Linked DNA regions of Lonchura striata. The protein of the gene in region 4 interacts with the protein of the main gene of each other region in a biochemical or structural test. Links are inferred from orthologs where the notes say so. Each region holds a gene or a part of one and is shown on either strand. Other genes may lie near its edges.

Region 1 (6,818 bases), on a different chromosome or scaffold from region 4:
TTTCCCTCCATGCCATCACTGATGATCCTGGAGGTTGATGGTGCACCACACCAAGATGGTTCTCCTGGTACCAGTGGGTGCCACCAGATGATTTTTCACGCCAAGTTATGCTGCTTCCATGCCTGGTCTAGCAGGGGAAGAAGCGGGGAGAGCGGAGGCAAAGGCGAGGCAGGCGCTCCCCGGCGCCTCCCGGCCCGCGGCTCGCGTGTCCCGGGAGCGCGGGCGGGCGGCGCGGGCTCCGCCGGGACGGGGCCGCGCTTCCCGGCGGGCGGGAGCGGCACCCAGCGCCGCACCCCCGCATCCCTCCCCAGACACGGGGCTCGGCCGTCTCTGCCCTCGGCAGCGGAGCCTGGCCAGCAGGAGTCCCTGTTGCTTGTCGCAGGGAATCACGCAGCACTTAAATCTCACCCATCGGACAATTCCTGTTTCACGCCGTTTCTCCCGCCAGAGATAATAGCACACTGACACGGCACATCGCGGTGTGGCACCGTGACTGATGCCAAATGCAGTTTGCAAATGCTGCTGCGGGCTATCTCTGTAGAGATACTGAAAATGGAAAATAAACTTCCAACTTTCCGGATTAAATCTCCTTTAAGCACAGGCTCACGTTTGAACCTTAAGTCCCAAAGTAGTGAAGTAATAGAACAATCTCACTCTCCTGACAATGCCTAGCTTTTCTTTGAACTGCAGCAATTCAGTAGCATTGAAAGGCTCATTTCTGAAGTTTAGGGACGGTCACAGCCTGACAAAATTAGTGCTGAACACAAAGGGTGCTGCTTTTTCTGGTGTGAGCTGTGCTGCAAATGATTTTGGTGAAAATGGGAAGAAAGATGTGCTATTAATCACCTGCAAGGGCATGAACTGTGAGTCATTTTTAACTTAAATAACTTATCTTAAGAAATTATAGTTTTGCATTTGTAAATGTTACTAATGCCCATCCATTTCTTAGTTCATGCAATATTTATTCCAGCATTTGCTAGTAAATAGATTGTCTAAGCAGGGTATTGGTGATAAGAAAATTATTTACATTTATATTACTTCACTAAAAATAATTGAGAGGGATGCCTACTTTGAATCTAAAAGTAGTCATTAGTGTTTCAGTGCATATTTGCAGAGCAAAGTAACTGGCAGGACCCTTCATTCTCATTGGGAACATGAAAATTATGAGCCAGGGAAAAAATCTGAAAACAATAGAAAGAACAAAGCATCTTCATATACACTTTGAGTCAATACATCTGACAACTGAATAATAAACTGATTTTATGGTCTGTGTTTAAAATGCCTGTAGCTGGAAATATAAACTAGGAAAAGATTCAAGTACTTCACCTGTTCCACGCCTTAACCAGTGACATATATTTCAATTTATATGGAGTGATAATAATTTTCTGTGGTAAGAGAATGAAATCATAATGACAACAAGATGTTATTGCATGCAATCTTTAAGGCTTATCAATACATGCAGTAGGTTACACAGCTGATACTCACCATACAGTATGGTCAACATGGACACAGGCATGACAAGGAAACCCAGCAGCATATCAGCTATTGCAAGTGACATTAGAAAATAGTTAGTGGCATTCTGTAGTTTTTTCTCCAGTGAAACAGCCATGATGACAAGAATGTTTCCAGCAATGGTTAAAACAATCACTATTACTGTCAGCAAAGCCGGCCAATTTTTCTGTGAAGGGCAGCACGGTGGGCTCATGTTACTTTCGCATGAAAGATTGGTTAGGTTGTCAGAGTTCACAGTCAAGTTGCAGAGATGTGATATATTAATTTCTGCAGCTCCATAAACATTTCTGTAGAATCTTCTCTCATGATTTATTTGTATGAAGGAGTTTGCAGTTGGGTTCACAGAGCTCACTCCATCGCAAAGAATATCCATTGCTAAGTCCAAAACCACAGAGATAAATTGAGAAAAACAGGAAATTATCACCCTTTGTCACCATTGGGCATTATATTCCTCAGCTCCCCATGTCAGAAGTTGAGGGAACACAATCTTTTGTCGACTGTATTTTTGCCACTAGTGCAATGTAGAAAAACATACCAAAATTACTCCAAAAGCTGAAATGTTTTGTTTTCAGTTCCATAGGAAGTCCAGTGTTGGCATATATTGAAAATCCAGCTGGATAGTAAAACTGGGCTGTAAGAGAGGCTTCAGAGAGAAAAAATGTTGGAGAAATAAAAGACATAAAACTTTTGCAACCACTAGGACTCCCCTCTGGAGCTACATCTTATTGCTATTGGTAACTGTTATCACACAATTTTAAACAGAGCAGTATTAAAATATCTTGCCGTATTAAACAGCAAAGCTCTGGATTCTCTATTAAGAATCTTGATTAATTATTCCATCCAACGTCTTTCTCTCGAAATAATTAAATATGCTTTTATTTATAGTGCATCTTCCATAATATGGCTGATAGTCTCTGTCTTCTGTTGTATTTCAGAATCATTTTCAGCCTCATATCAGAGACTACACATTCTGCTTCATGCTGATTTTTGTAGCTAATTGTACCTTTTGGCTCAGCATGGCTTCAGAATGGAAATTAAACAACTAGATACTGTTATAAAAGAATACAATTTAAGGAAGACTTACATTGCACTTCAGAGCCCACTTTCAAACTGCAAATAAATGCACTTGGCACCCTGGTTTACAATATTCTTCGCTGTGTTTAGCCAGTTCCGTGTCTTTTTTTCTTCAGCCTCCTCCACAACGGTGCTATTTCAAATAGTTTTTTGACTTCTAAACTGCACACACTTGAGTGAAGCCAGTTCCTGTGCTGCGAGGCTTGCTCTTTTCTTCTGAGAGATAGGCTGCTCGCCGGCTCTTTCCTTGTGCATTTCCCCGCCCCAGGGCAGCTATATTTAAAGTAATAATAATATCAGAGCCCTTCTTGAAGTGGCACAAAAGCAAGCACGCACACACATGAGAAAGCAGCCTGCACGGAGGAATTACTGATTGCAACAGGAATGGAATTTCTCCCTTGCTGCCTTGTTCGGATTGTCAGACCTCCCACTCTCTGGATGTCAGAAACTGTAAGGTAGCGACAGCAGAGGAGGGCAGGGGAGGGCAGAGCACAGGGGGTCTTTTTGGTAAGCCAGCAGCTTTTTCAGTGCTTATTTTAGAGGTTCTCTGCTTGGGGGCTTTTTCAAAACATGCTTTCAGTTTGCAGTGGATGCCTCACAAACAGCTGCATGCAATTACAGGGATTTACAGGATGCAGGCTTGAGAGAGACAAAATCTAAGGCTTGTGATGGTAGATACGAGTGAAACATGTGAGAAGTTTTTTCCCTAAAGAGGGGAAATTCCACCAACCTTAAAAGGCAGGCATAATAATATTCAGTCCCCTTCAGTTTTAACTCCAGGTCTGTGCTGACGTGTGAATCAACTTGGCAACAGATACTTATAAAAAATTGAAGTCACTCTGATGTCATACTCATTTGTCAGGAGATGGATGTAACAGCTCAGTCCAGCAGCCTGTCCCAAGCAGGCATCCCAAAGGAAGCAGTTCTGTAAAGCAATGTGTGTATAGAGCAAAGGGGAAACAAAACAGTCTGACACTGCTTCTGCCTTATACTTCTGCTGCCAGGACACACATGAAGAAATAGCCGAGTCTTCAATTTTCCACCTAAAAATACTCAGCTCACAGACTTTCTGAGACTTACAGTTGTCAAAAGTTTGGCTGAATGGGTGTACTGCTCGCCTGCACATCCTGAGATATATTGCAGACTTCCCTCATGCTGAGGGCAATGGCTTTAAACAGGCAGGCTCAGGAAGTTTTCAGTGAGATCTCAGAGAGGTGCCAGTGTCACTGGGCACCCGTGGCTCCTGGCAGACCCTTGGGAGCTGCAGGCTGCTAGCATAGCTCAGCTCTGTGTGCAGCACTGTCAACTCTGCTGCAGATCCCAGGGAACTTCAAGCATATGGAGAATTACTACAGCTCAGCTGACATGTGCTAATCTCTTCATGGACCCAAAACCATTCCAAAGTGAGTCTCAGAGCACACACTGATGCCCATTCAGATCAGTAACTGGGGCACAGTTACAGAAAGCCTTTCTCAGTAGTTTTTTGGAGCCAGTTTTACTCACAGGTGAACCCAGCAAGACTGGGAAAATGACGCAGTAGCTTCCACTAATACCCATGTGGGACTTGGAAATGTGTCATGGTAGTAATAAAGTTTCCCAGTCCCATAGGTGAGGCCAGAAGACTATCAGACAGCACAAACTGGTAAAAAAGTTGATAAAGCTGAGTTTAGCAAGAAATGTGTTAGCTCTGGCAGTCTCACCCAGAAGCCAGAAGAGGAAATTTCCTCTCTCCTTTCATACAATAATCAAATAGGGTACTGTGTTCACCAAGTGAATTTGGCATCCATGCTCCAGAGGATTTGGTGGCCACTGCTATGAATATGATAGTGCATATCTGATACAGAGGGTGGGCTCCACTTCTGCTGAATGCAGCTGTGGCAGCAGCTCTCTGGCCACAGAGAGCAGGCACAGACTTTCCCAGGCATTTTCCCAGGGAAAGCTGTGAGAAGATCAGAGAAAAGTATGAAAAACAATTCTTATCTCCACTCGCACCTGCTGTTGTGCACATGTAAAATGTGTCATGGAGATTTGTTTACTAAAGGGTGATTTCTTAAATAAACACTAGATAATATTTAGATAGATTGACCAGTTAGGTCAAAGCTGTATCAGACTAGCTGTAAGAGTTAATAAGTTTTTTGATAAGTATAGTAAAATATAGTATAAGATGATATAATAAAGCAATTGATGAAACTTCTACAATTGTGGAGTCAATACTAATTATTACCCAGCTGAAGGCCTGTGGTGACATGCAGCCACTGTGCAGAACAGGGCACAGCACCTCTTGGCTAGGGCTACATACAACCTTTGTGAGGAGCCCAGGTGTCCCGTTGTTTTCTTAGAAGGTTGGCTCAGGGCTCTGACTGCTATAGCATAGCAGTCATGGGTGTGTCATGGATGTCACTCCTAAGAGAGAATAGCTACAGGTTTATTGATATAAACCAGTGATTTTGTCAAGCTTCATGGTAAATGTGAGAAGGGTTCAGTAAGATCTGATGACAAGGTGCACTTGATTATTTATGGCACAGAGGACTGGGTCAGATAAGAGAGACAGGGAGAAAGACTCTCTTGTTGAGTCATGAGGTTCAGAAAAGACCTCCTTGTGTTCTAAGTGCCTTCTCATAATGGAGTTTATGTGTGCCTAATTCCAAACTTAGACTTAGTCAATGGTTTATATCTCAAGGATTATATGTTCACAATCAATCTTTTGTGTCACTTAGCTAAGATTTCAGAGTTTAGCATGCTATTATTCACTTACTGAGAATCTCCTGAGTCAAGGGATCTCTCAACTCTGAGGAGTGACCTTGAGAACTACTACTCAAAGCCAAGACCCTGGCAGACAATCCACTGCCCTGCAGGAGAGATCAATAAGCCCTGGCTGTTCACTATTTATGAAGTAAGATAATTGACTTATAGTCATATTTGCATACCAGCTACAGAAGTTAATTTCCTCCAAACTTGGCCTGAGTTGGACCTTGACAAACAGTATGGTTGGGGGTGTGCAATGACTCATTTAAATCTGCAGCTCTATTCAGGACATCAAAAACATAAAAGTAAAGTGCAAACCAGCTAACTGTTGCCTTGCCTAAGACCTTTGCAGCTACAGTCATAAGCTCTTCATTAAAGGACTGCACTGTTTACTGTGGTGTAGCTGTAGACATTTGAGTATCTACCACAGGGTCTGAGTACCTTCTGGAAACTTAGCTTTCCCGACAGAAAGCAATTTGGCATATGTGAAACTGAGGCACAGGCATCTTAAAATTTTTTTAGGTTTGCACATGAAGCATTGATAAATAAGAAACCAGCTTTGTGCAGGTTGACATATCAGAAAAAAACTGTGATCTTATGTCTTCTAGCGTGTGTGTTGGATGTACAACTGATCATGAATTTATTGTAATATTTATCTCAGGATTTTTATTTTATTTAGACTGCAAAATCACTCATCTCACCTCACCCCAAGAACCTGAAAATTGTTTTCCTTCCATATAGCATCACTGCAGGAATCAAGCAAAGGAAATGTCCAATCTTTGTTTGCAGAGCCCAACAAAAAGAGAATACCAGGGCTCTCATCCATCTGCAAAACCAAGCGTGAGCTCTACCTTGAGAATTCAGCATGGAATAACTCCTAGGTGATCAGTCACATCCAAACCAGCCTTGACCACTGCTTTTCCTAAAGGTGGAAAGCTCTGGAAAACTGTAGGCTCCATGCTCTTCTATTTTAAACAAAGGAGTTTGCAAGTCTGTGGCAGCAGAGCCTCGCACGCTGCGACCTGCACTCCCAGGCAGCGCGTCTGCGCTAAGAGCAGGCAGCTGCTGTCTGTCCCAGCCTATGGAAATTAAGTGAAATCTTAGCTTAAAATGGCAATAATGTGGTCTGTGGTAGACAGAAAGCAGTCTCTAGAAACACAGCTGGCATGGGAACAGACTGCACATTGCTTTTTAATTTCTGGAAGGCACCAATGTAACAAATTCATCTCAGCCCCTCCCCTGGTCCCTAGCTCTGCTTGGAAATTTTTTGTAGGACGTTATTCTGTTCTCTTCAGTAGGGTTTTTATGCTTGGCATGGTGCACATAAACACTTCCTAGAAATGCTGCTTTTCAACAATTTTTGTCTGAAAGAGGAGCAGTTAAAAACCTAGTTTACATAATTCAAATTTGTGTTCTCAGGATTGATTCAGGTGTAAAAATTCCCAGTTTCTGAGTTTGCCATTGTTCTCTGATGTTCTGAATAGATT
Region 2 (7,318 bases), on a different chromosome or scaffold from region 4:
CTGGTAGGGGAGCTCCAGCCGCAGGAGCCCACGCGCCAGCCCCAGCCAATCCCCGCCGCACCAGCACACCAGTCCGTGCCACCGCCGGAGCCACAGCGGGCGGCTTAAAGCCACTTGGAGGACACGGAGTTTCAGAACTTCCCAGCAGCCCCCCTGCCCAGGCTGCCTGCCCCCCGGCAGCTCCTTTGCCCCCGCGGGGGGCCAGCAGCAGTGTATTTTTAGAGTGGTTTTATCCCTCCGTATTAGAGCATTAAGCATCAGGAGCTGGCGGTCGCATAGCAACGAGCGCCGCATGAGGAAGGTGCACCCAGAGAAGCGCGGCGGTGCGAGCGTGGGGGTGCCACCACGGCCCCCGCTCCCCAGCCTGACCCAGCCCGACAGGCTCAGCCAGCCCTGTGCGCCAGCACGAGCAGACACCAAGCCCCGCTCATGCCCCAGAGGTACTGCCCACTCTGCCGCGGCCCTGGTGTGTGGGGGGCTCCTGCAGCAGGAATCAGGGGTCATGCCCCAGGATCTCAGGCTGGGGGGCAGCTCTGGAGCTGAGGAAATGAGCAACTCTCCCACCCCACAGGCGCTGAGCGAACCCCAAACCGGACTGACAGCTCCTTTCCTCAAAGCAGGAGCGATCTTGAGCACAGGGCATGGCCGTGAGTAACAAACCCCAGGGCCTGTCAGGGCAGGAGCAGCCCAACAGCTCCGCTCACCCGCCCCTGCATCCACTGGGATCGCTGAGCCAGGAGTAACTTGAGTAGGGCAGGCAGAAGCCCAGACCGGGCAGGCAGTGGGGAAGGGCACCCTGGCAGGCAGGAGCAGTTCCTGATCCCAGGAGCAGTGTGACTGAAGAGAGGAGGAGAGAGTGGAGAAGGGCAGCTGACAGGACTGTGAGAGCAGCCAGGCACTTGCTGATGTGACTGACCTTCTGCTTTCAACACCACTTCCCCTTTCCCAAGGGCCAGAGCAGCAGTTACCACATCACCAGAAGGCAAAAGGGCAAGCCAAGGGAGCTGGGGACACAGAGGAGGCTGAGCTGTGCACGTGCTGTACAGGTGCCTGCCTGGGCCTGGACTGGCACTGGAGAAACACCAGTGTGACACAGGCATGTGGGTGCTGCGACTGGGATGGGGTAGGGCCAGGTGGCATCTCCCACAAAGAGTGACCTGGATGCCTGGCTGGGTCCTTGCACCCTGTCCAGGCAAGGTGGGGTGTTTACAAACCATAGCTACAGCCCTGACATGACTGCAAGTGTCAGCAGCAGGGCTCACTGTTCTCTGCTCCAAACACCTCAGGAGAGGAACTGGGCAACTGCCTCTACCCAAGCCCCTGGCTCTGCTCTCTAAGCCTGGTGCTACCCCAGCACTGTCTTTGCTTGTGACCTGGGAGTCCATCCCTGAGTTCTGTGGAAGAGTTGCTCCCCAAGCTGGGCCCAGCAACTTGCCTAGGCTGACTCCACACTGTGCAAAGGAAGCACTGGGGCATCAGCAGCAGCTCCCCCAGGAGTGTTCCCTGGTGTCCAGGAATATGCCGTGGTCCCAGGATGGGACAGCCAAACCTGTACCAAAGGGCTGCCAGCACCCACTGGCAAAACAGGACTTTACAGGCTGGTGGCAAGGAGAGCAGTGACTACCTGGGTAAGGACCCCCTCAGCCAGCCTTCTGCAGACCTGTCACCCCACCCTCCTGGGGATCCCCCACACCTTGTACAGCCCACCCTGCCATCACACACCCATCCTGTCCCAGACAATAAGGCCCCCCAGGCACAAGCTGCTTTGCTGGAGGCTGCATCAACCCCACTTAGAGAAATCCCTTAATCCCTAGGCCAGAGTGAGCAGTAATCCCTTGGGTGCAGTGGGATTACCAGCACTGCCCAATCCCCATCTCCCTGGGGCCAGCCTGAGCCATGACAGGGCCCAGCTCAGGACACAGTGCTAGGACAGGACTGTGCTCCCCACATCCTCTCACCGGTGCTGCAGCTTGGCAAGGCAGGAGCAGCCAGGATGGTTCTCTGCCAGGATACCTCTTCCCCACAGTCCAGAGGCATTTGAGTCACACCACTGCTCTCGGTCAGTTCCGCTCTGGGATGGGTTCAGTTTTGCTGCTGTCCCCACGGGGAGATGCTGGGAAGGGGGTGGGAGTGCAGCCCCACGCCCTGGCAGGAGCAGGGAGAGCACACATCTGTGCTGCCAGCTGCTCACCTTGGGATTTGCTCTCTGCCGAGGCAGACTGAAAAGAGGCTGAAGAGGGGCCATGAGCCATGGGGCAGACACTGGCGTCAGCACAATGCCACCAGAAAGAGACTCCGCGTCGGCTCCCACCATGCTACAGCCTCGGCAGAATGTCCTTGGCTAAACCATGCTTATGGGCTTCAGGGCAGCTGTGGGTTGTGCTGCCCCCAGCACAGGAACAGTGGTGGGGGCTGGAGGCGGCGGTGCACTCCCTGTGGCTTCCGCCACAGAGTGAGCGGGACATTTCTAATGCTGAGATATGACCCGGGATGTCTTCCAGGTGATTCCAGGAAGCACTGGGAGGCTGTTGGCAGAACCGATCCCCACAGCGCTCTCCTGCTAATGGGTTGTATCGGACAACACCCGAGCCAGGCCGCAGCTGCCAGCACCTTCCTTATCTTACACAGTGAAGTCCTTGCAGCCGAGCACTGTCACTTCTGGGGTGGAACAGCAGCTCCTAATCGGCCGCACAGCTGGGCAGGAAACCGGCCGTGAACCGGCACTGCCGGCAGTAGCATTTTGCTGGCACCAGCTGCTCCCAGGAAGAATGGTCACCAGCACGGCTCCAGCACTGGGGCCATTGCCCGAGATTTCACCCAGACTCCAGTCTCCCCTCAGCAAAGGCCCTCCTCAAGAAAAACCACCTGCCGACACACGGGAACCTGCCCGGGAGAGATCAGGCACAGGCAGGGTCTCCCTGTCCAGTCCCGGTCCTCAGCACCGGGAGGGAAGGTACGCTCTGCGGGCACGGAGGGCAGAAGGAAGTGGGAGGAGAATGTACGGGCATGAGAAGGGAGACCTTGCACCCCCTGAGCCGCCGCGGCCCGCCCTGGGAGCGGGTCCAGGGCACACACCGGGAGCTCCCGAACCGGGGGCTGTGACATTCAGCAGGCACCATCGAGGCCAAGCCGCCCTGAGCTCTGCGGGGCCGGGACTCGGCAGTGCCGTGGGAGCACCGGAGCGAAGTGCGAGCGGCCGACGGAAGGCGTGCGGGCAGCGGGCCACGGAGCTCCCGCGGCAGTGGCGGCGCTCCGCGGGCCCGGGGAGGGCGGCCCCGCGCCGCGCCCGCCCCCCGCGCTGCCGCCGGGCACCAGGTGCCAGTTCCGCCCGGCGCTTCCTCCGCCGCCGCCCGCACGATGCCGCCAGGGCCGCTCTGTCACTTGCGGACGCAGGTCCCGCCGCCGCCAAATCCCCGCCCGTCCCGGAGCCACCGCCCCCGGTCCTGCACCTGGCAGCGGCCCGGCCCAAACGCGCCCCGCCCGGGAGAGTAGCCACCGCCCAGCGGGGACTACAGACTGCCCCGGCGCCTCGTCCCGGGCCAGGCGGGTGTCCCAGAGCCCCCCGCCCGCCCCCGGCCCGCACTGACCGCAGCCGCCGCCCTCCTCCTCCTCCATCCCGCCGCCGCCGCTCCGGCCCCGCCCGCGTGACGAGCGCGCCACGGCCGGCACCACGTGACCCGGGCGGGGCGGAGCCTCGCCGGCCCCGCCCCCTGCCGCCCGTCCCGGTGCCCCCGGCCCGCCCCGGTGATCCCCCAACCCCGCCCCGGTGAAACCCCCAACCCCGCCCCGGTGATCCCCCAACCCCGCCCCGGTGATCCCCCCAACCCCGTCCCGGTGCCCCCGGCCCGCCCCGGTGATCCCCCAACCCCGCCCCGGTGAAACCCCCAACCCCGCCCCGGTGATCCCCCCAACCCCGTCCCGGTGCCCCCGGCCCGCCCCGGTGAAACCCCCAACCCCGCCCCGGTGAAACCCCCAACCCCGCCCCGGTGATCCCCCCAACCCCGTCCCGGTGCCCCCGGCCCGCCCCGGTGAAACCCCCAACCCCGCCCCGGTGAAACCCCCAACCCCGCCCCGGTGATCCCCCCAACCCCGTCCCGGTGCCCCCGGCCCGCCCTGGTGAAACCCCCAACCCCGTCCCGGTGATCCCCCCCACAACCCCGCCCCGGTGATCCCCCCCCCAACCCCGTCCCGGTGAAATCCCCAACCCCACCCCAGTGATCCCCCCCAACCCCGTCCCGGTGATCCCCCCCCAACTCCGCCCCGGTGATCCCCCCAACCCCGTCCCGGTGAGCCCGCCCCGCTGCTTGCCCCTCGCCATCGCCGCCTATCATGACCGAGTGACAAAGACCGGGATTTATTCAATTCCATCCTTCAATGCCCGTAGCCACGGCGGCAGCACTCCGGCCCCGAAGGGATCCCCCGGTGCCCCCGCGCCAGCGCGGGGCCGGGCCGACAGGGGGCCGGGGGAGGCTTTCCATGCAGCTTGTGCAGGGGAGGGGGGTCATGGAGTGAGGGGAGTAGGGGAAGATGAGGGTCGGTGACGCTGGGAAGAGGAGGCACAGCAGCTCGGAGTGACAGGGATGGGCTTGAGGCACTTGCCACGAGCCCCCGCAGGGGTGGGCTGGGGCCTGAGGGGAAGAGGCACGGAGAAGCTGATGAGGCGCCCGGCCGAGGCAGGTTGGAGGGAAGGCAGAGTGGGCAGGCTCCTCTGCAGCTGGAAAGCAGCTCGCCGAAGGAAAAGGCACAACGCCAGGGCTGCGGCTGTATTCCCTCCCCTCTGAGTGTGCTCCACCAACAGCTCCCAGGACAGCGCTGCCCTTGGTCCTTGACCTGGGACTGCTCCCTGAGCAGTTGGGGATGCAGATCTCAACCTGTGAGGCAAAGAGCCCTGTCAGACCCCACCAGGCTGCTACCTCATCAGCCCCCAGGCTCACTGTGCCCCCCGGGTCACTCACCTTAGAGCCGGTGGCCCAGGCTGGCCATCTTGGCAGGATGTGACATCAACCAGAAGTTGCGCTTGTTCTGCAACTTCTGGAATGGATTTGAGTCTCTCCTCCGCTCCTGCTTCATCTTCTTAATTTTCTTTACCTGTGCAGAGGAGGAGTGTGCTCAGGTCAGACTGCAGAGGCCCTAGCCTCCCACCTGGCCCAGGCCAGCACCCACCTTTCCTTTGTCAAATTCCTGGTCCCAGTCATCGATGACGGTCTTGCTTTGGGCCAGTGCTGTGTCCCGAATTGCATCCTGGCTCACGGCCGAAATCTCACCCTGCCAGGTCAAGACTACAGAGCGGTGGAGTCAGAAGGACCAGGCTGTGCCACGCTGCACCTGGCCCCGCCCCAGGCCCAAGGCTGGAGCCCCTCGCTGCCCACCCTGTACCAGCCCCGTGGCCGGGTGTACCTGCCTGCTTCCAGGAGCACCCCTGCCTGCACTGGGGTGGGGGGAGCTCAGGCCCTGCAGAGCTGAGGGGACTCTGCCCCCATCCAGGCCTTAGGGCAGGGGGGCTCCATGCTGTTTGCCCACCCACATACCCACATGACCCTGGATTACCTTGCTTGCCATAAGCCCTGTCCAAGGAATTCTGGAGCAGCTTGTCCACCACGCTGGACTCCTGGCCCTCAGGGGCTGTGCCAGCCCAACTGCTGGCCATAGGGCTCAGGGCAGCCAGAGAGAGCCTCTCATCCCCAGTCTGGCTGTCGCTGGGATGTGCTGCCACTGTGGAAATAAGCACGGTGAGGATGAGCCAGGGGGAGCAAGGGCAGCTACCATGTCCCTCCCTCTCCAAAGCAGATCTCATCCCAGGAAACACCATTTGGACAGACAAGGTCCTGATGGCTGAGGGTGTCTGGGCACACAAATGCCTGTCCTGGGGGTCAGTCAAGGGGCCTGTTCCCACCTCCTCTTCCAGGGCATGTGCAAAGGCTCCAGGGCTGTCCCCCAGGAGCAGCAGGCAGGCCTGGGACAGGGCAGCCCAGGCCAGGGAGCAGGACACAGACACTGCCAGGCAGCTGCGGGACCAGCAAGCACTGGGGGTGGTACAGTAGTGCTCCAAGGGGGCTCCTGGGCAGACAAGCCACTGGCCTGACACTGCCAGGCACCAGACAGGGCACAGGGTCACACCTGGGGTAGTGGCAGTGGCGGTGGGAACAGTATCGGCAGCCAGGCTGCTGAGGCTTTCCATCCACTTGCGTTTGCGGTGCTTGTGCTCTCCAGCCTCCACACTCTGATGTGTCTTACAGGGCTCTGGTTCTCTTGTCCTGGAGCTGGGGAAGGCAGCAGGGTCAGCTCACACCAGCCAGACCACAGCAGGAGAGCCTGAGCTTCCAACAGAGCAATAGGGCAGAGACACCCGTGCTGCACCCAGGGAGAAGTGAACCCACCCACAGCAAACAGGTGCTTCAGCTGGATGCATGCTGAGGTGCATCCTACCTGCAGAAAGATGAGAAGCCCCTGACTCAGGGAGCCTGACCTCAGGCTCTCACATGCCCCTCGTCCCTCACCTGTCCGAAAGCAGCATCCCAGAGCTGCACTCTTCTGTCTTCTTCAAAAGCCTGTCTTTGCTTCTATTCTTCTTTTTCTTCTTCTTCCTCTTGAGGGGTAAAGTTGGCTCCATGCCCAGGCCAGTACTGGGCTCTGGCACATGTTGCTTGGGCCCACTCTTCATGTCCTGACAGACCAGGTCATGGCTGAGACCCTCACTGGCCACCTCCTTCCCCATGACAGCCACAAAGTCCCCTGGAGAGGCAACTTTCTTCTTGGGAGGCCTGGTGTCTTTATCAGTGAAGTCCTTCTGAGGGTCAGTGCTTTCTTTCTTGGGGAGCCTGGAGTCTTTGCCCTTGAAGACCTCTGGAGAAATAACTCTCTCCTTCTTGGGAGGACTGGAGACTTCATCCATGCCCTTCACAGCCACAGCACAAGGGCTCCTGTCTGCGCTACGATGCTTCCTCTTCCGACGCTTCTTTTTGAAGGAACCCTCTGGTTCCTCCTGGCCAGATCCTGTCTCCCTGCTGCTACAAAGAAGGTGGTGTGAAGTGTGGGCAGTGGAACCATGGGTCAGCAGGGAGGCCGGGTGCTGAGCAGGCAAGTTGAGCACGAAACTGAAGGCAGACTTTTCAGGATTGGGAAGTTAAAGAGCAGATGAGGACAGGCTGAAGGACAGGAGAAGAGGCTGATCCAAAAGCCTGGATGCCCCTCTCTTCCTCCCTCCCCTGAGGTGCAGAAGCACAACACCCAACTGCTGCCATCTTGGCCACGAAATGGGAATCAGAGGCTACTCTGCAAGCACTCACAGGTCCCACAGCAGACCAGGAAAGAGTGGGTG
Region 3 (7,833 bases), on a different chromosome or scaffold from region 4:
TGGTGCACTGCAGCAGGGGGACACAGGGCCCCAAGGCGCCTGTGAGTCCCCCGAGCCACACCGAGAGCAGCTCCTCATGGGAGGGGAGCAGGAAGGCCCACTGGTGTCCCCTCACACTCACCTTGTAGGTGTTGATCCCCCACTTCTTGACAATGTCGAACTTCTCAACGGCAATGCCGCGCACGACCTCTTCTCCACCAGGCGGGGGTCCTGGGGGTGGTGGGTGCAGCCCAGGGCCTGGCACAGGGACAGGAATATGGCACCAGCTGCACGAGGGCGGCAGCCACGGGGAACGGGCAGCCCCAGCCTCCAGAGCCCTTGTCCTGGAGCTGCTATTTCTACAACAGCATGCCCAGCTCCAGGCATATGCCCAGCACTGGCTCACAGGCATTGTGATGAGGACCCTGCTCCTGCCAGCCCCCCTGAGGGTCCCACACAGGGGCACAGATCCCAGCCCAGCCATATCTGCTTGCACCAAGCCCTGCCCCATTCCTGCCGACTGCTGTCACCAGGCTGGACACAGGGGGAACACTGCCCAGTAGTACTGGGAGCCCCTCAGGTGGGCTCCAGGGGCAGGGTGGGCCCCTCTGGCCAGGACCCACCTCTGAAACCCCTGGGCCCACCAGTGCTGTCGTCTGTCCCAGCACAAGGATCAGCCCCAGGACCAGGCTCTGGCCATGACACAGCCGCCATGGGGGTTCTTACCAACGTCCCTAGGGAGGCCCGGGGCCCCCAGACCCAAGGGACGCCCGGGGTGGAGTGGGGGGCGCAGTACCTGCGGGAGCCGCGGCCGGGCGGGCCATCCTACGGGCAGCAGGCGCGCTGGGGGCAACCGACGGTCCTCGGGGGGGGTGAGGGTGGACAAGAGAGCCTGGAAATGGGGGGGCTGCGGGGGCTGAGCAGTGTGGGGCAGGACAGGATGGGGGCACAGGGCATGGCACAGTGGGGTAGCCAGGGCAGAGGGACGGGGGGGCAAGGGACAGGGGCGAGTGCGCGGGCGGGCGGCAGCGGGAGAGCGACGGCAGCAGGTGAGCGTTGGAACCCAGAGACACTGCCACAGCCTCACAGACGGATGCCCCAGCCCAGGAAACCCCCACCTCTGGCCCCTGTGCAGGAACCCCTGCACTCCAAGGGCTGGGTAGGCCTGGCATCACGAGCACGCTGGGACACAGAGACACAGGGACACCGGGCCAGCAGTGGCGGTGCTCCGGGGAAGTGCACACCCGTGCAGTCTCCCTCTCTGCCCATATGGACCTTCCTCAGGCCCTGGGGAAGATCTCTCAGGGAGAGATCTGCATGGAACAAGGACAGTGCTGCCAGGTCTCCCAGGGTGCAGAGCCCAGCTGGCCCCGCTGTGGCCCGGTCTGACTGGGACAGCAAGAAGGGGTCAGCAGAGTGTGGGCTTGTGCCCCTGCCTGCCCCCTCATCCCCAGCACACTCCAGAGCTCCCGCTGCACATGGACCAGGACACAGCAGGGATCCTCCACCAAGCAGGGATTCAGAATCTCACGGGGATGTCCTGACCAAGGGGATGGAAATTCCCAGCAGAGCCCACCCTGTGACAGGGGAGCAGCCCAGGGAGAGCGGAGCTGGGGCAGCAGCCCCTCCTCTGCCATCAGTGCACACTGCCACATGCTGCCCCTACACAGAACCCAAGCCCACCCAGGAGCCACCTCGGCCAGGCTGTGGCACAGCCTCGTGTCATGAGTCAGGGGCACTGAGAAGAGATGAGCCCCTTGGTCCCACGATGGCCCCATTCCCTCCCAGCCCAACTCCACTACCTTTGATGGTGCCGGTGGGGATGATGCCCTCAGCCGTGCCCCCGTAGCCACCTGACACAATGCTGGTCTCATTCAGGTTGGGTCCTGACACCATCACCTGCTGCAGGTCCTGGGGGGCAGAATAGCACAGGGGCTGAGAGGCAGAGATGGCACAGCCCTGGTACAACCCAAACACCCCCTAGGGTTCCCGAGCTCCAGACCTGCTCCAGGCCATCGTCCTCGGGCAGGCTGCTGGTGTCCCCGTTGCTGCTGATGGGGATCTCCATGGTGGCTGCCTTGCTCAGGATCCCGTCCGACATCCTCAGGGCCTGCAGGGACACGGCCGTGGTGCTGGGGCCAGGACCACCGCCCGGCCGGGGGCAGCAGCCACAGCCGGTACTGCGGGGCCGTGTTGGGACAGCAGGAGGCTTCGGCGCAGAGAGAAGGGCCCACATCGGCAGCCGCTGGCACCGAGCAGAGGCTGCCCGCTGCCTCCTGCAGCCACTCCCAGCCCGGCCCCACCGTCTCTCGGGACACCCCCGGCCCCCAGAACCGACCCGTGGGGTGGCACATCCCAGAGACCGCTGCGGCTCCCACACCATCACGCCAGGGCTCCAGGGCTCCCCCGCCCCTCGGGCCGCACTCCGTGCCCCCTCTCACGAACCCTGCCGGGATCCCCGCAGTCCGTGCCCCGGGACAGCGGCGCTGGCAGCGCGCAGCGCGGCGCCGGGAGCCACGTCCGCAGGAGAGCGGGAGGGGGCCCGCTGCGCTCGGACCGGTCCGGGCACATTCGACAGCAGGCGGGGCCCGGGGCGGGCTCCCGAGAACCCGTTACCTGCGACCTGTGCCCTCCCCGGCGGGGACAGGGCCCGGCCCAGCGCGGGGGGCGAGCCCTGCGGGCAGAGGCTGTCACCGCCCGGGGCCATCCCGGCCGCGGAACGGCCCCGCAGCCCCACAGCCCCCGCGGCGGGCGGGGGCAGCGCCCGCACGGAGCCCTCCGCAGCCACGCACGGCAAGGCCCCGGGACGGGACCGACCTCCGAGGGAACCCCCGGTGGCCGCTCCCGGCGGAGCCGGCCCGAGCGGGCGGCGGCGGCCGCAGCCCGGCTCCCGGGGCTCTCTCGGCCAGGCCCCGCTGGCCGTGCGCGGCCCCCCGGTGCCCCCCAGCCCCACCTGCGCCCCGGCCCCGCCGGGCCCCCCGCGCCGCTCCCGCTCCGCTCGGCCCGGGCGCGCCGCAAGTGCCGTCAGGGCCCGGAGGTGGCGTCATGGCTGAGCCGGGCGGATGTGACGGCGCGGGGAGTGCGGCGGGAGCGGCCCGGGCCGGGCCCGGCATGGACCCGGCGGCCGAGCACCGGCAGCAGCTCCGCAGCGTGAGCCGGGGGCGGCGTGTCCCGCCAGGCCTTCGGGGGGGTCCCGGGGCTCCAGCTGGGGGGTCGCGAGGTGCCGGGGTCGCAGGAGAGCCGGCGGGGCCCTGGAAGGGACTCGGGCTGGCCGGGGGGCGCGCCGGGACTCGCGGTGGGTTTCGGGGGTACCGGAGCGGCTCCGCCCGGTGTGATCCGCGCCTGCTCCCCAGCTGCGGGATTTCCTGCTGGTCTACAACCGCATGACCGAGCTCTGCTTCCGCCACTGCGTCTGCAACCTCAACTACCGGCTGCTCACGGGCCGCGAGGTGAGCGGGGCCCGGGGGCCGCGGGCCGGCTGCCCCCGCGCCCCCTGACCCCCGCCGTGCCCCGCAGGAGTCGTGCCTGGACAGCTGCGCCGCGAGGCTGGTCCGCGCCAACCACCGCCTGATGGGCGCCTACGTGGGACTGGTGCCGGCGCTGCTGCAGCGCCGCGCAGCCGAGCACGGCGCTGCGGCGGGGCCGCCCGCACTGCCGGCCTCCCCTGGACCGGCCCCGGGCCCCGCGGAAGACGCTCCCGCTGCCGGCACGTAGAAGCCCCTGGCCGCAGCTCCCCGCGGCCGTCGGACGCAGCAGCAGCCCTGCTGCGCTGGAGCTCCAGGCTGGAGCAGCATCCGCGCTGGGCCCCCGGAGCCCCGAGCAGCGGCTGGGCTATGCAGGGCACCGAGGATGGGGGGCACAGGAACAGGGGAAGGCCCCCCCTAGCCCTCCTGGCTGTGGATTTCTGGGAAGTGGAGTGTGAATACCAATAAAACATCTTCACAGTAATGGCTTAGTGTGACACGTGGGGAGGGCACCAGAGCCCTGGCCCCTGTTCGCTGCTGTGTGAACCCATGGCACAACAGGGAATCCAGGGAATTGCACCTCACTGGGAGACAAATGTCTCCCTACAGGACGCCCGTGATCACCGGGACATTGCAGGGCCCTGAACATTCTCACTGCAACTGTCAGGTGCAGAGCAGGCACTCAGGGCAGGGGGAGGGGGCAAGGTGGGGGTAGATGTCAGGTGCTGCCAGGCCAGTGCCCACCAGCTAAGGGCGTGTGTATGCGTGGTCCCTAGGAGATCCTGGCCTCTTCTCTCCCTGCTGCAGCCCCTGGGCAGAGGGCGTGAGCTGCGGGTCCGGGACAGGCCTTAAGGCAGGTAAGCACAAGCCCCAGTACAGAAATAAATTGATATATTCCGTGTACAAAACATGCTCCTGCAGGCCCGGCCGGGCACTCCCGCGCATATAAATAAGGCCCGGCCCGACCTCCCCTCTGTCCTGCCCACGGGGGCCAGCGCCTGCGCCGGGGCCACCCCTCCCGCGGGACCCCCGGGCTGGCCGGGGTCACTTAAGGTCCACATCGAAGTCCAGCACCAGCAGCTTGGTCTCCTCGGTGCCATTGCGGCTGCCCACAGCACACACCAGCTTTGTGTTGGAGGCGCGGATGCGCCACACCACCCCACCCGAGCCCCCGCTCTCCAGGGCCACCAGGTTTCGCACAAACTCCCCTGTCTTCAGGTCCCACAGCTTCACTGTCCCGTCATCCGAGCTGGTCACCACGAACTTGGAGCTGAACTGCAGGCAGGTGACGGCACTCTGGTGCTTGCTGGGACCTATGGGGAGGCACCCATGAGCCCCATGCATACCTGGGCCACCCACTGCTGTTGACATGGATCCTGCCACAGCTGGCAGCTTACAGCCAGCCCAGTCTCAAGGGCAAGGAGCTCCCTCCCAGCCCTGCCCCTTCCCAGCCCCCTGATGGAGAGAACATCCCACTGCCCCCCAGGGGTAAGGTATCCCCTCTCACCCTGCAGCGTCTGCAGGCACTGCCCTGTCTTGATGTCCCAGATCTTGACGGTGGAGTCGGCGTTGCCGGACACCAGGATGTTGTCACGCAGCTCCATCCCGCTGGTGAGTGACTGGTGCCCCATGAGCGTGTGCAGGCAGTTCCCGCTCTCCACATCCCACACGCGGATTGATGTGTCCAGGGACCCACTCACGATGTGTGTCCCATCAAACTGCCAGAGAGAAGGGGTCCAGCTCAGGATCGAGGACAGGAGTGTCCCTGGTTTGGGGCACAGCCCACAGCTCCGGCACTCCCTAGTCTGGGATACAGCACGCCCAGTTCCAGCACCAGCGACCCCAGTTCAGCAGCTGAGACACAGGCTCATGTGCCTCTTGGCTTTTTGAGCTGTAATGCTCCAGGGAAGGGGCATGGACGAGTGTTTGTGTCCACAGCATATGTGTGTGGGAAGTGGGATCAGGGGGGCAGAGACTGTCCCCAAAGGACACAAACAGGGTCCATGTGTCCTTGCAGGGCAGATACAGCCCCTTCAGGGCACACATGTCCCTGCAAAGCTCACAGGGCCTTGCACGACACACGCACAGCCTATTTGTCCCTACAGCACATGTGGGACCTTTGGCACAGCTTGTACCCATGACTGGAAGGCAGGGGAGAGATAGCAAGCCAGCAGGAAGGCAGGTTGTACCTGCAGGGAGCAGGGAGGGCAGGGGAGCAGCAGGAGGGAATGTGTGCAGGGCCGTACCTGCAGTGAGTAGACACGGTTGGTGTGCCCCTGCAGCGTGTGGGTGCAGCTCTCGCTCTCGGGGTCCCACACCTTGACTGTGTAGTCGTAGGCACCACTGACCACCTTGTTGCCATCATACTGGACGCAGCGCACGGCTGCCACATGGCCCATCAGCACATGCAGGCACTGCCCCGTCTCGATGTCCCAGAGCCGTAGCGTGGCATCCCGCGAGCCGCTCACCACCCTGCGGGTGAGGGGACACCTGGGGCCCAGCTGCCAGGGCAGCCTGGGGCTAACAGCCTCCCCGTGGATATTGTCCTCCCTCACACAGCACCCACAGCCCGTACCTGTTGCCGTGCAGGTGCATGCAGCGCACGGTGGAGGTGTGTCCGTACAGCGTGTGCACGCACTCGCCGCTGTCAGCGTTCCACACCTTGAGTGTGCGGTCAGTGGAGCCGCTGATGACAATGCTGTCCCTCATCTGGGAGGACCAAACCCCCCCAGTGTGGCCCACCAGCGTCTGCACACACTGTGGGGAACAGGACGGGAGAGGCAGGTGAGCCTCTCGCACTCCCCCACCCCAAAACAGCACAGAGGAGCAGCACAACTCTGTGTCCTTGTCATAACGGGCCCAAACCGACCCCAGCAGTCAGGGTGTAGCCCCAGCTGTGCCCAGCACAGGGAGATGGTCCCTGCCCCAAGCCCCTGTGGCGCCAGTGACAATGCCACACTCACTTGCCTGGTGACAGTGACACTCACCTCCCCTGTGACAGCTGACCACACTTTGAGTGTGTTGTCATCAGAGCCGCTTACTATGCGATTCCCACAGAACTGCAGGCAGGTGATCACATGGTCGTCGTGGCCCTTCAGTACCTGTGGGAGCACAGGAGGGTGTGGGGGGCAGTGTGGCCCCACCCAGCCTGCAGGATCCCCCAGCATAATGAGCAGTGGGAAGGTAGCAGGAGCTGTGGGGAGGAAAGGCAGACGGGTCTCCAAACCACCTGCACCCCCTGGTGCTTCTGCAGGGCAGGGGAGCTGGGGTGTGTGGTGTGTCTGCTGCAGGGCCGGGGGTTACAGCAGAACAGGGAGTAGGAGGCTCAGGAACCCAGCAGCAAGAGAAGGGGTGGTGAGGACTCTGTCCAGGGGCAGGAGGGACCCCCACGGAGAGATGACCAGGGTTCTGGGACCCTGCACAGAACACAGTTGAGCCCTGTGACACTGCACTTTCCTTGGGTGCTGAGGCTGGCTGCAGCCCTGGATGGGGCCTTGGAAAGGGGCAAATGAAAGGACCCCCTTCTCCAGGCCCAGGAGATCTCATTTCTGCTGTCCCACTGCTCTGAACAAGCCGGATCTGCTCCCCATGGCAGATCCTGCGCCAGCTTCCCCACACCAGGGGCCTGAGGTCTGTCCCCAGAGGGACCCCCACCAGCCCCTCAGCCCACCAGGGTCCACCCCTGGCAGGAGCACTCCCAGGCTCACCCTGGGGACCACAGCTCCCTGGAGTCAGCACTGGGACACCCAGACCTACTTTGGGGGGCCGCAGCTCCCCACTGCGCCAGTTCATGTCAATGCGGTGCTGACGCAGGAAGGCGAATTTCCAGGGGCTGTACATGAATCCGGGACTGAGCAGGCGTCGCTTCCTCAAGTGTAGGGGCTCCTCGATCCCTGCAGGGGACAACACAGCAGTGCCTCACCTGGATCAAGCCTGGGGTGGCCCCAGCCCCCAGCCGGGAGGGCCCTCACCCTCCTCACGGCACTTCTCCCTCCAAAGCAGGTTGTCCTCGGCCAGGACTCTCCAGTAGCGGCAAGTCTGGGCGGCACGGAGCAGGTCCCGTGGCTCCAGGAAAGACAAGACGTACAGGGCCAGCTACGTGGGGATAAAGGTCACAGAGAGGTCACAGGGGGAAGATCAGGTCAGGCCAGGCCCCTGGTCCCCAGGCTTCACTCACCTCCTTGGGCAGCAGGGAGATGAAGTCGCGCTGGAACTGGGGCTCGATGACCTGCATCATGTACTTGATCTGCGCTGGCTCACAGCGGTCAATGAGCTCATCCAGGGCCAGCAGCTTCTCAGGGCCGCTCCAGCGCTGCAGGGGGACCCCCAGTGACCCAGTGTCCCCAGCGAGCCCAGACACAGCCCTAGCAGCCAGGCCTCTTGTGCCAGG
Region 4 (7,373 bases):
CAGATTGCCCGTGTTATAAATGAGAATTTATTCAGCCAGATTAAAAATTTAAAAAAATAATTTTATTAGCGGTCAAATTCGATCTAGCCAGCCACAGGGAAAGAACAGAGCCGAGCCTTGGGTCGGCCCTGGGTGTGCCACAAGGAGTCACCTCAGCAGAGGTTTTCTCCTATGCCCACACACCTCCAGCCTGGCACAAGTGAATTTTATAGGGAAAATTCCGCCTGAGGCCAAGATTTCAGCAATCAGTCTTTTCTTCTATTCAGAATCCATAATAAGATTTTCTTTTTTGGTGATGAGGAGAAATAATTCAATGTCTGGAGTAGGTGAATCCCTGATGAGATTTACGGGAAGGCTGCATTCACATGGATCTGTCTGAGGATTTCCATGAGATCCATCTTGGGTCGTTTATGGGATGATCAGCATCAATGATCAACACCTGGAGTCCCCATGGTGAACACCTGGAGTCCCAGTGATCAACACCTGGAGTTCTGATGGTCAGCACCTGGAGTCCCAATGGTGAACACCTGGAGTTCCGATGGTCAACACCTGGAGTCCCCATGGTCAACACCTGGAGTCCCCATGGTCAACACCTGGAGTCTCCATGATCAACACCTGGAGTCCCCATGGTCAGCACCTGGAGTCCAGCCATGGCCCATCTCCTGGCCGAGCCAATCCTTTTATTTGTGACTCAGTTTCCAATATACACCCAGTCTCACCTGCAAGGGGGGGGAACTAATACAAACGGGCATAATCTAACAAGTATCCAATATTCCATATTTCATACAAAGAATGGCGCAAATTATATTTACTACACATAACACCCAGAAGGAGTCTCCAATCCTGGAGACACTCCAGAGCCAGCTGGACACATCCTGTGCCCTGTGCTGGCCCTGCTGGAGCGGGAAGGTGGCACCAGGTGACCCTGCTGTGCTCCCTTCCAACCCGAGCTGCCACATCCCCCCACCAGTTTGGGGTTTCTGGGGGAAGATGTGCAGCTCATCATTCCCCTCTGGCAGGTTTTGAGCCGTGGATGATCACAGGAAGATGAGTTTTGGGTGCTCTCAGTGTCATGCAGAGGCAGAAGCTGCAACCGCAGCCCAGAGCAGCTCAACTCGGCCACGGGCCCTGCCAGGGATCCGGGGAAAGGAGAGATCCCTTGGGAAACCTGCCCTGAGCAGAGGCTGGATGGAGCTAAAGAATAAATTAGGGATTTATTAAAGGATCTCCTCCATGGATCCACCTTGGGCAGCACCAGAGCCCAGCCAGGGCTGCACCCAAATGACCCAAAATGGTCCCAAAATGCACGAGCGCTCCCGGGGCTCTCCCTGGGATCAGTTCTGCTCCATTGGCACCTTGGAGTTCATTGTCCCATTCCAGCTCCAGCCCATCAGTCCCACCCTGCTTGTTTTTCTCTCTCCAGCCCACGGTGTTTGTGCTCCTGGGCTGAGATTTGGATCATTTGTCCTTGGTGCCCAGCTGGAGCAGGAATTGTTTTGTGTCCCTGCTCTGTGCACAGAGCTCAGCATCCCCTGATCTGGAGCCCAGACCCACACACTAAAGCAGCACAGGATGGGAAAAATACAAAATCCAAAACCTGGGGCATCATTAGCAGGCAGAGGGATAACAGGGATTGGAGCAGGGCCCAATCTCCACAGGGCTCCAGTGCAGGAGCAGCTCAGAGAAACTCTGGCAGGTGTTGCACATCACTTTTCCAGCAGAGAAAGGACAGAAGGAGTTCAGAAAAGCTGCTTGCCAGGTGAAATGGGCAAAGCCAGAGCAGGCCAAGCCCTATTTGCACCCAATCCCCAGAGATGATGGACAATGCAGTCTCCAACAACCCAAAAAAAAAGCCGAGATTCAAGAGGAGAGACCCGAGGAACAGCATGGCTGGCTGCAAAAGTGGGAGCAGACGATGGAAAGGACACTTCCCCAGCCTGCAGTTGCTCATTCCATGGGGTTTCATGGTACCCAGAGGGGGGGTGACACAGCCTGAGCATCCCAGAGCCCATCCCGTGTTCCACCAGCTGTGCTTTATTTTCACCTGATCCCTGAGATCCTCGCTCCTCACCTGCTGGGTCCCGGGACAAAGCCCCAAAGGAGCCTCAGCTCTTACAAAGGAAAGCAGAACAACCTCAGCACGGTCACACCCTCCCCTCAACGCTTTGCACCGTCAGAACAAAAGCACCAAAAGTCATTTCCTGACAGCACAAAAAGCTGCTCTGAGGCAAGGGAAGAACAACATGGGCAAAGGAAGGACCTTAAAGCTCCTGACATCACCTTTCTCTACTATTTTGAACCCTTGTGGCCTCGTGCTGCCTGATTGAATGAACTCAGCAGCACGGAAATGGTCACGCTGAGCAGAGCCAAGTGAAAACCCACCAATATCCACACCCTGATGTTAATTTTAGCCCTGCAAATATTTAGCTCTCCGTTTAGATAAATATCCCATGCTCGTGAGAGAGGAGACTCGCCCAGCTGCATCCAGCAGGATCAGGGCTTGCTGGAAATCCCAATCCAGCATGCGAATTAGCAGCATTATCTGCTGGTTTAATCAGCAGGGCGTGAACTCTGGCAGTGCCCGGCCAGGCAGGGACACTCCTGAGCCCCGGGGTCAGCAGGCCGTGCCCTGGCACACCAGGAGAGGCCACGGATGCCGTGTTTGCCTTGGCATCCTCCCTCTTGGCTCGCTGCAGGAAACAGCAAAGCCTTCCTCAAAATCTCCTCTTGCCAGCACAGAACGCTGGAAAACCCTGAGCTGGAAGGGACCCCCGGGACCGTGGATCCAGCCCCTGGCCCTGCAGGGAAGAGCCTTTCCCTGATCTCCAGGCCAAGCCTCCCTGCACAGCTCCAGCCCCGCTCACCAGAGGGAAGAGCTTGAGCCCTGAATAATTCTGCAGTCCAGGAAACCTCCCGTTCTCCCAAAGACACCGAAGCGTTCCCTCTGGCAGCTCCAAGAGGAATTGCTTTCCATGTGCCAGGACATCAGCCGGAGAAATCAGCTCCCAGCTCGGTGTTTTGGAGGGGAAGGGGAAGATGGGTGAAGTCAATCCTACACGATCCCAAGGGAATGCAGACTGTGCCCTCCAGCAGGAGACCCCAGGGCGACCAAGTGCATCCCGGTGGGATGCCAGTGTCCCGTCCGGGGTGGAAGGAGATGGGCTGTAAGGTCCCTTCCAACCCACACCAGCCCGTGATTCCACGATTTCGTGGGATTTGTGTTCCAGGCGCTGCTTCCCCCATCCACCCCCCGAGCTCGGGAGCATCCCCCAGCGCAGGCCGGCTCTCACAGGAGCGGTGGGAGCCGGGCCGTGCCCGTGTCCCTGGCCCCGCTCCCGTGTCCCGGTGTCCCGGCACGGCCCCGGGCGCGCCGTGTGCGTGCAGAGCTGCGGCTCCCCGCGCTGGGCGTGCCGGGCACGGCTCGGGACCAGGGCGGGGCCGTGCCCCGAGCGCTGCCCGCTGCCCCGGGCGCTGAGCCGGGGAGTTCCGCCCACCGGGATCGCTGGCGGTGACCCAGGACAGCGCGGAGTCATAAACCCGATGACGCGGCACTGAATCACCGCAGGCTCGGGCTGGAACGGACCTCCCAGCCCGGCCCGGCCCGGCCCGGGGCAGGGCACGGGCACCTCCCGCTGTCCCGGGCTGCTCCCGGCCCAGTGCCCAGCCCGCCTCGGGCACTGCCAGGGACAAGGGGCAGCCGCAGCCTCTCGGGGCAGCGGTGCCGGGGCTTCCCGCCCTCGCTGCACGCAGCGCCGGTGCGGGGCAGGCTGCACGGCCCGCTCGGTACCGGGCTCGGTACGGGGCTCGGTACCGGTGCCGCTCCGTCCCGCCGGGTGCTGCCCCTTTAAGGCGCGCCCCGCGCGCGCCCCGCGCTGACGCGCGATCGCGTGGCGCCTCTCCCCACCGCGGCCCCGCCCCCTCCGCGCGCCGCCGCGCCCCGCCCAATCAGCGGCGAGGCCACGCCCCCCCTCCCGCGGAGCCCCCCCCTCGGGGGCGGGGCGGCGGCGGCGGCGCAGGCGCGCGGGGCGGGCGGGAAGGCGCGGGCGGAAGGAGGGGCGCGGGCGTGGCGGGGCCCGCGCGGGCGCATGCGCGGGGCGGCGGCGGGGCGGAAGCGGGCGCGGGCGCGCGCGGCCCCTTTCCGGCGGCGCGGGCGGAGGCGGCGGCGCGCGGGGCCCTCAGGTACGGCCGGGCGCTCCCGGGACGCTCCCGGGGCCATCGCGGCCGCTCCCGGCGCTGCCCGGCCCGCGGGATCCTCCCGCCGGTACCCATGAGCTGAGGCGCCGCGGCGGGAGCCGAGGCAGCAGCGGGCGGAGCCGCCGCCGCGGGCCCGGCGGAGCAGCGGAGCCGCCTCCCCGCCGCCCCATGCGCGGCCCGCGCTGAGCCCCGCCCGCCCTTCCCCGCCGGGCCGGCGCTCGCCCTCTCGCCCTCCCTTGGATGCCGCCGAGATGGGCAAGGTGCTGTCCAAGATCTTCGGGAACAAGGAGATGCGGATCCTGATGCTGGGGCTGGACGCGGCCGGCAAGACCACGATCCTGTACAAGCTGAAGCTGGGCCAGTCGGTGACCACCATCCCCACCGTGGGCTTCAACGTGGAGACCGTCACCTACAAGAACGTCAAGTTCAACGTGTGGGACGTGGGCGGCCAGGACAAGATCCGGCCCCTGTGGCGGCACTACTACACGGGCACGCAGGGGCTCATCTTCGTGGTGGACTGCGCCGACCGCGACCGCATCGACGAGGCGCGGCAGGAGCTGCACCGCATCATCAACGACCGGGAGATGCGGGACGCCATCATCCTCATCTTCGCCAACAAGCAGGACCTGCCCGACGCCATGAAACCCCACGAGATCCAGGAGAAACTGGGCCTGACCCGGATCAGGGATAGGAATTGGTATGTGCAGCCCTCCTGTGCCACGACGGGGGATGGACTCTACGAAGGGCTGACGTGGTTAACGTCCAATTATAAATCCTAATGGGAGAGGAACTATTTAGTCTACAAAGAATTAAAGAAACAAAACAAAAAAAAATTTAAACAAACAAACAAAAAAAGAAACAAAAAAAAAAATTAAATAACCCACGTGGCTTTCCAGAAGAATGATTCTCTACTGAAAGTAAAACAAAACCGCATCCATAGGATTATGATCACCTTTCTCCAGTTGCCACCCTTTCCTCCTGCACCCTTGGCTGGATTCCTGTTCTAACTCCTCCTGCTTGGCGTTAGGATGCTCTAACCTCCGAATGTGACACGAACACAGGCACTAGATGCTATGGCAGACTTCCAGCAAACAGGGGAAGGACACATTATAGACTTGCTAAGTAACTTTTTTTTTTGTTGGTTTTTTTTTTCCTTTTTCCTCTTGTTAGCCCTTTGCTGGTTTGATTATTTTGGGGGATGTTGGGGGAGGGGGTCCATTTTCAGTGTATGCTTCCTGGGTCTACTTTTTTGATTATATATATATTTTTTTTCTCTCTCTTCTCTCACTTTGCTGTAGATTGCTACTTTTTTGCATTCTTGCAGGATATGTTGCTAGGTCGACTTCATCTAGTAAACTGAAAATTGTTGCTTAAAATCAAACTGCAGTCTGTCTTTTTATATTAAGGACTTTTTTTTTTTTTAAAAAAAAAAAAAAGTTCTGTTAATCTGTAACTAAACAGTGACTCAGTCTGGCCCCACGGCTCAGGCTAACGAGGGGAATTCTTGCCTGCAGTGGCAGAGAGTGGGAATTCCACTGTAACGTGTTCAAAGTGCGTGTCGGGCGCTGGGAAATGTAAGATCTGCTTTGGAATGTCAGCTGGGAAGTTCTGACCCATACATCATGAATGAGGAGGGATGCAAAACCAGCTCCCCACACCACCTAGCAAAGCAGGCATGAGCGATGCTGTAGTTCCAGGGCAGGCACTGGGCAGGTTTTTTTGTCCTAAATGAGGTTTAGTTGCAGTTTTTTACTCCTTGGTGTCGGTCCTCGGGCCGAGGCCCTTTCCAGCAGATGCAGCAATAAAATGTTGCAATGAGTTTGAGTTTAAATCAGATGTTTTGGCAAAAGTCCAGCTCTGACTTGCCTCTCGCTTCCATCTCAAGGCAGCTGGAGACACCAAAACCTTGAAGGGATTCCTGTTTCTTTCCAACAGGCAGGAGGAAATTGTTATTTATTGTTATTATTGTTCTTTTTCCATGCTGGAGCCTTGCGAGGGCGGCGAGTTCCGAGCCGAGCTCTGCTCGCGCCCGGCGTTTCTGACATCAGGAATGGCCATTTTGAGGAAATCACTGCTTGCTTTGGTTTTCCAAGCCTGGACTGAGCTCCTGCGAGTGGCTGGAGCCTCCTCCCTGTGGCCCGGGGCTGCTGGAGTCCTGTAGGAAAGGGAACTATGTTGGATGTCTGAGGCCCATTGAGGAACTGCTAATGAGAGCGGGGAGGGGAGAGAGAGAGAGAATCGACGCTGAATGTAAACTTCCATAATTAGTTCTTAAAGGGCAAAGCAGCTCGTTAGCCATGTCACAGCCTGTAGCTGGGACTGGCCAATCAAAAACCCCACCCGGAGCGAGTATTTGCATAAAAACTCAATCAAGTATTAATTAACGCTGGGTGCACAAACTGTTAAAGCAGCTGGTTCTTATTCAGCCTTAAGGATTAACTTCAGATTTCCTCAAGGAGTTAAAACTCCGTTGGGGAATTCTAGGAATGTATGCTACAAAACCAGAAGAAAATGGCTTTTATTTTTCCTTTTTTTTTTTTTCCTTAATTGTTTTCTCTTTTCAAGAATATAAGTTTTACATGGAACTGGGGGCATTACACTACATTGCTGCCGTGGTGACTCTGCATGCTGAGTACATTGTACACATGGAGCTCTTACCAAAGATGTATGGGAAGATAAAAATCCTGAATTCACTTCTGAAATCCAATGCTTTGGAGCACTTCAAAGTCCTTTTAGAGTATGGTTCCAAAAAAAGACTTTTCTGGATGTGGGTTGCAAATGGGACTGGATGGGTTCTTGGTGCTAGAAGATAGAGCATTGATGGACTTTGTGAATTAGAGAGAGTCTGCAGAAGCCTAATGTAGAAATAACTCTTCCATCTCGGCCCTAAAGAAGAGGAAGTGAGATTAGTTTCTTTTAATCCAAGGCTTTTTGCCATTGGAATATCATTGCTCTATTTTCTAGCTTTTATTTTTCTTTTCCTGTTGCTGTAACTTAATCAACAGTGTGGTGGTATAAAAACTTAAAATTACAACAATATGGTTACTGTTTTCTTCTGGAGCATCAATAAAATAGCCAAGCACAAAGTAAATGCCTAAACTGGAAAACTTGAAGCTCTATTAATGGTTCTTGAACTTTCTTAAACCTATTCTCAGTCAACATGAAAACTTCAATACCTT

What was found.
Region 1: the proteins of ARF6 (region 4) and HTR2A form a complex in vitro, tested with the Homo sapiens proteins (2 studies listed by BioGRID). The link is inferred for Lonchura striata from reciprocal best matches to the Homo sapiens genes ARF6 and HTR2A.
Region 2: the proteins of ARF6 (region 4) and CYTH1 form a complex in vitro, tested with the Homo sapiens proteins (2 studies listed by BioGRID and IntAct, with this or other methods). The link is inferred for Lonchura striata from reciprocal best matches to the Homo sapiens genes ARF6 and CYTH1.
Region 3: the proteins of ARF6 (region 4) and ARFIP2 form a complex in vitro, tested with the Homo sapiens proteins (2 studies listed by BioGRID). The link is inferred for Lonchura striata from reciprocal best matches to the Homo sapiens genes ARF6 and ARFIP2.

What each region holds. Positions count from the first base shown.
Region 1 is NC_134604.1:61,622,366-61,629,183, forward strand, and holds the start of HTR2A (5-hydroxytryptamine receptor 2A), read right to left. Parts: upstream 3,013-6,818; 5' UTR 2,597-3,012; intron 2,156-2,596; 5' UTR 1,886-2,155; coding exon 1,486-1,885; intron 1-1,485. UniProt on the Homo sapiens protein: G-protein coupled receptor for 5-hydroxytryptamine (serotonin).
Region 2 is NC_134621.1:11,768,835-11,776,152, reverse strand, and holds the start of CYTH1 (cytohesin-1), read right to left. Parts: upstream 3,005-7,318; 5' UTR 1-3,004. Other genes in the region: USP36 (ubiquitin carboxyl-terminal hydrolase 36), read right to left, coding at 4,957-5,088, 5,164-5,279, 5,548-5,712, 6,118-6,260, 6,498-7,007. UniProt on the Homo sapiens protein: Promotes guanine-nucleotide exchange on ARF1, ARF5 and ARF6. Promotes the activation of ARF factors through replacement of GDP with GTP.
Region 3 is NC_134604.1:116,966,962-116,974,794, forward strand, and holds the start of ARFIP2 (arfaptin-2), read right to left. Parts: upstream 3,017-7,833; 5' UTR 2,933-3,016; intron 2,090-2,932; 5' UTR 2,081-2,089; coding exon 1,982-2,080; intron 1,891-1,981; coding exon 1,782-1,890; intron 887-1,781; coding exon 776-886; intron 238-775; coding exon 122-237; intron 8-121; coding exon 1-7. Other genes in the region: TIMM10B (mitochondrial import inner membrane translocase subunit Tim10 B), read left to right, coding at 3,091-3,129, 3,333-3,428, 3,496-3,693; RRP8 (ribosomal RNA-processing protein 8), read right to left, coding at 4,488-4,756, 4,951-5,161, 5,690-5,915, 6,019-6,200, 6,431-6,544, 7,200-7,336, 7,415-7,538, 7,621-7,755. UniProt on the Homo sapiens protein: Plays a role in constitutive metalloproteinase (MMP) secretion from the trans Golgi network. May have important functions during vesicle biogenesis at certain cargo subdomains, which could be predominantly utilized by secreted MMPs, such as MMP7 and MMP2.
Region 4 is NC_134608.1:1,966,714-1,974,086, forward strand, and holds the start of ARF6 (ADP-ribosylation factor 6), read left to right. Parts: upstream 1-4,363; 5' UTR 4,364-4,445; coding exon 4,446-4,973; 3' UTR 4,974-7,373. UniProt on the Homo sapiens protein: GTP-binding protein involved in protein trafficking that regulates endocytic recycling and cytoskeleton remodeling. GTP-bound form plays an important role in the transport of multiple palmitoylated proteins form the Golgi to the plasma membrane.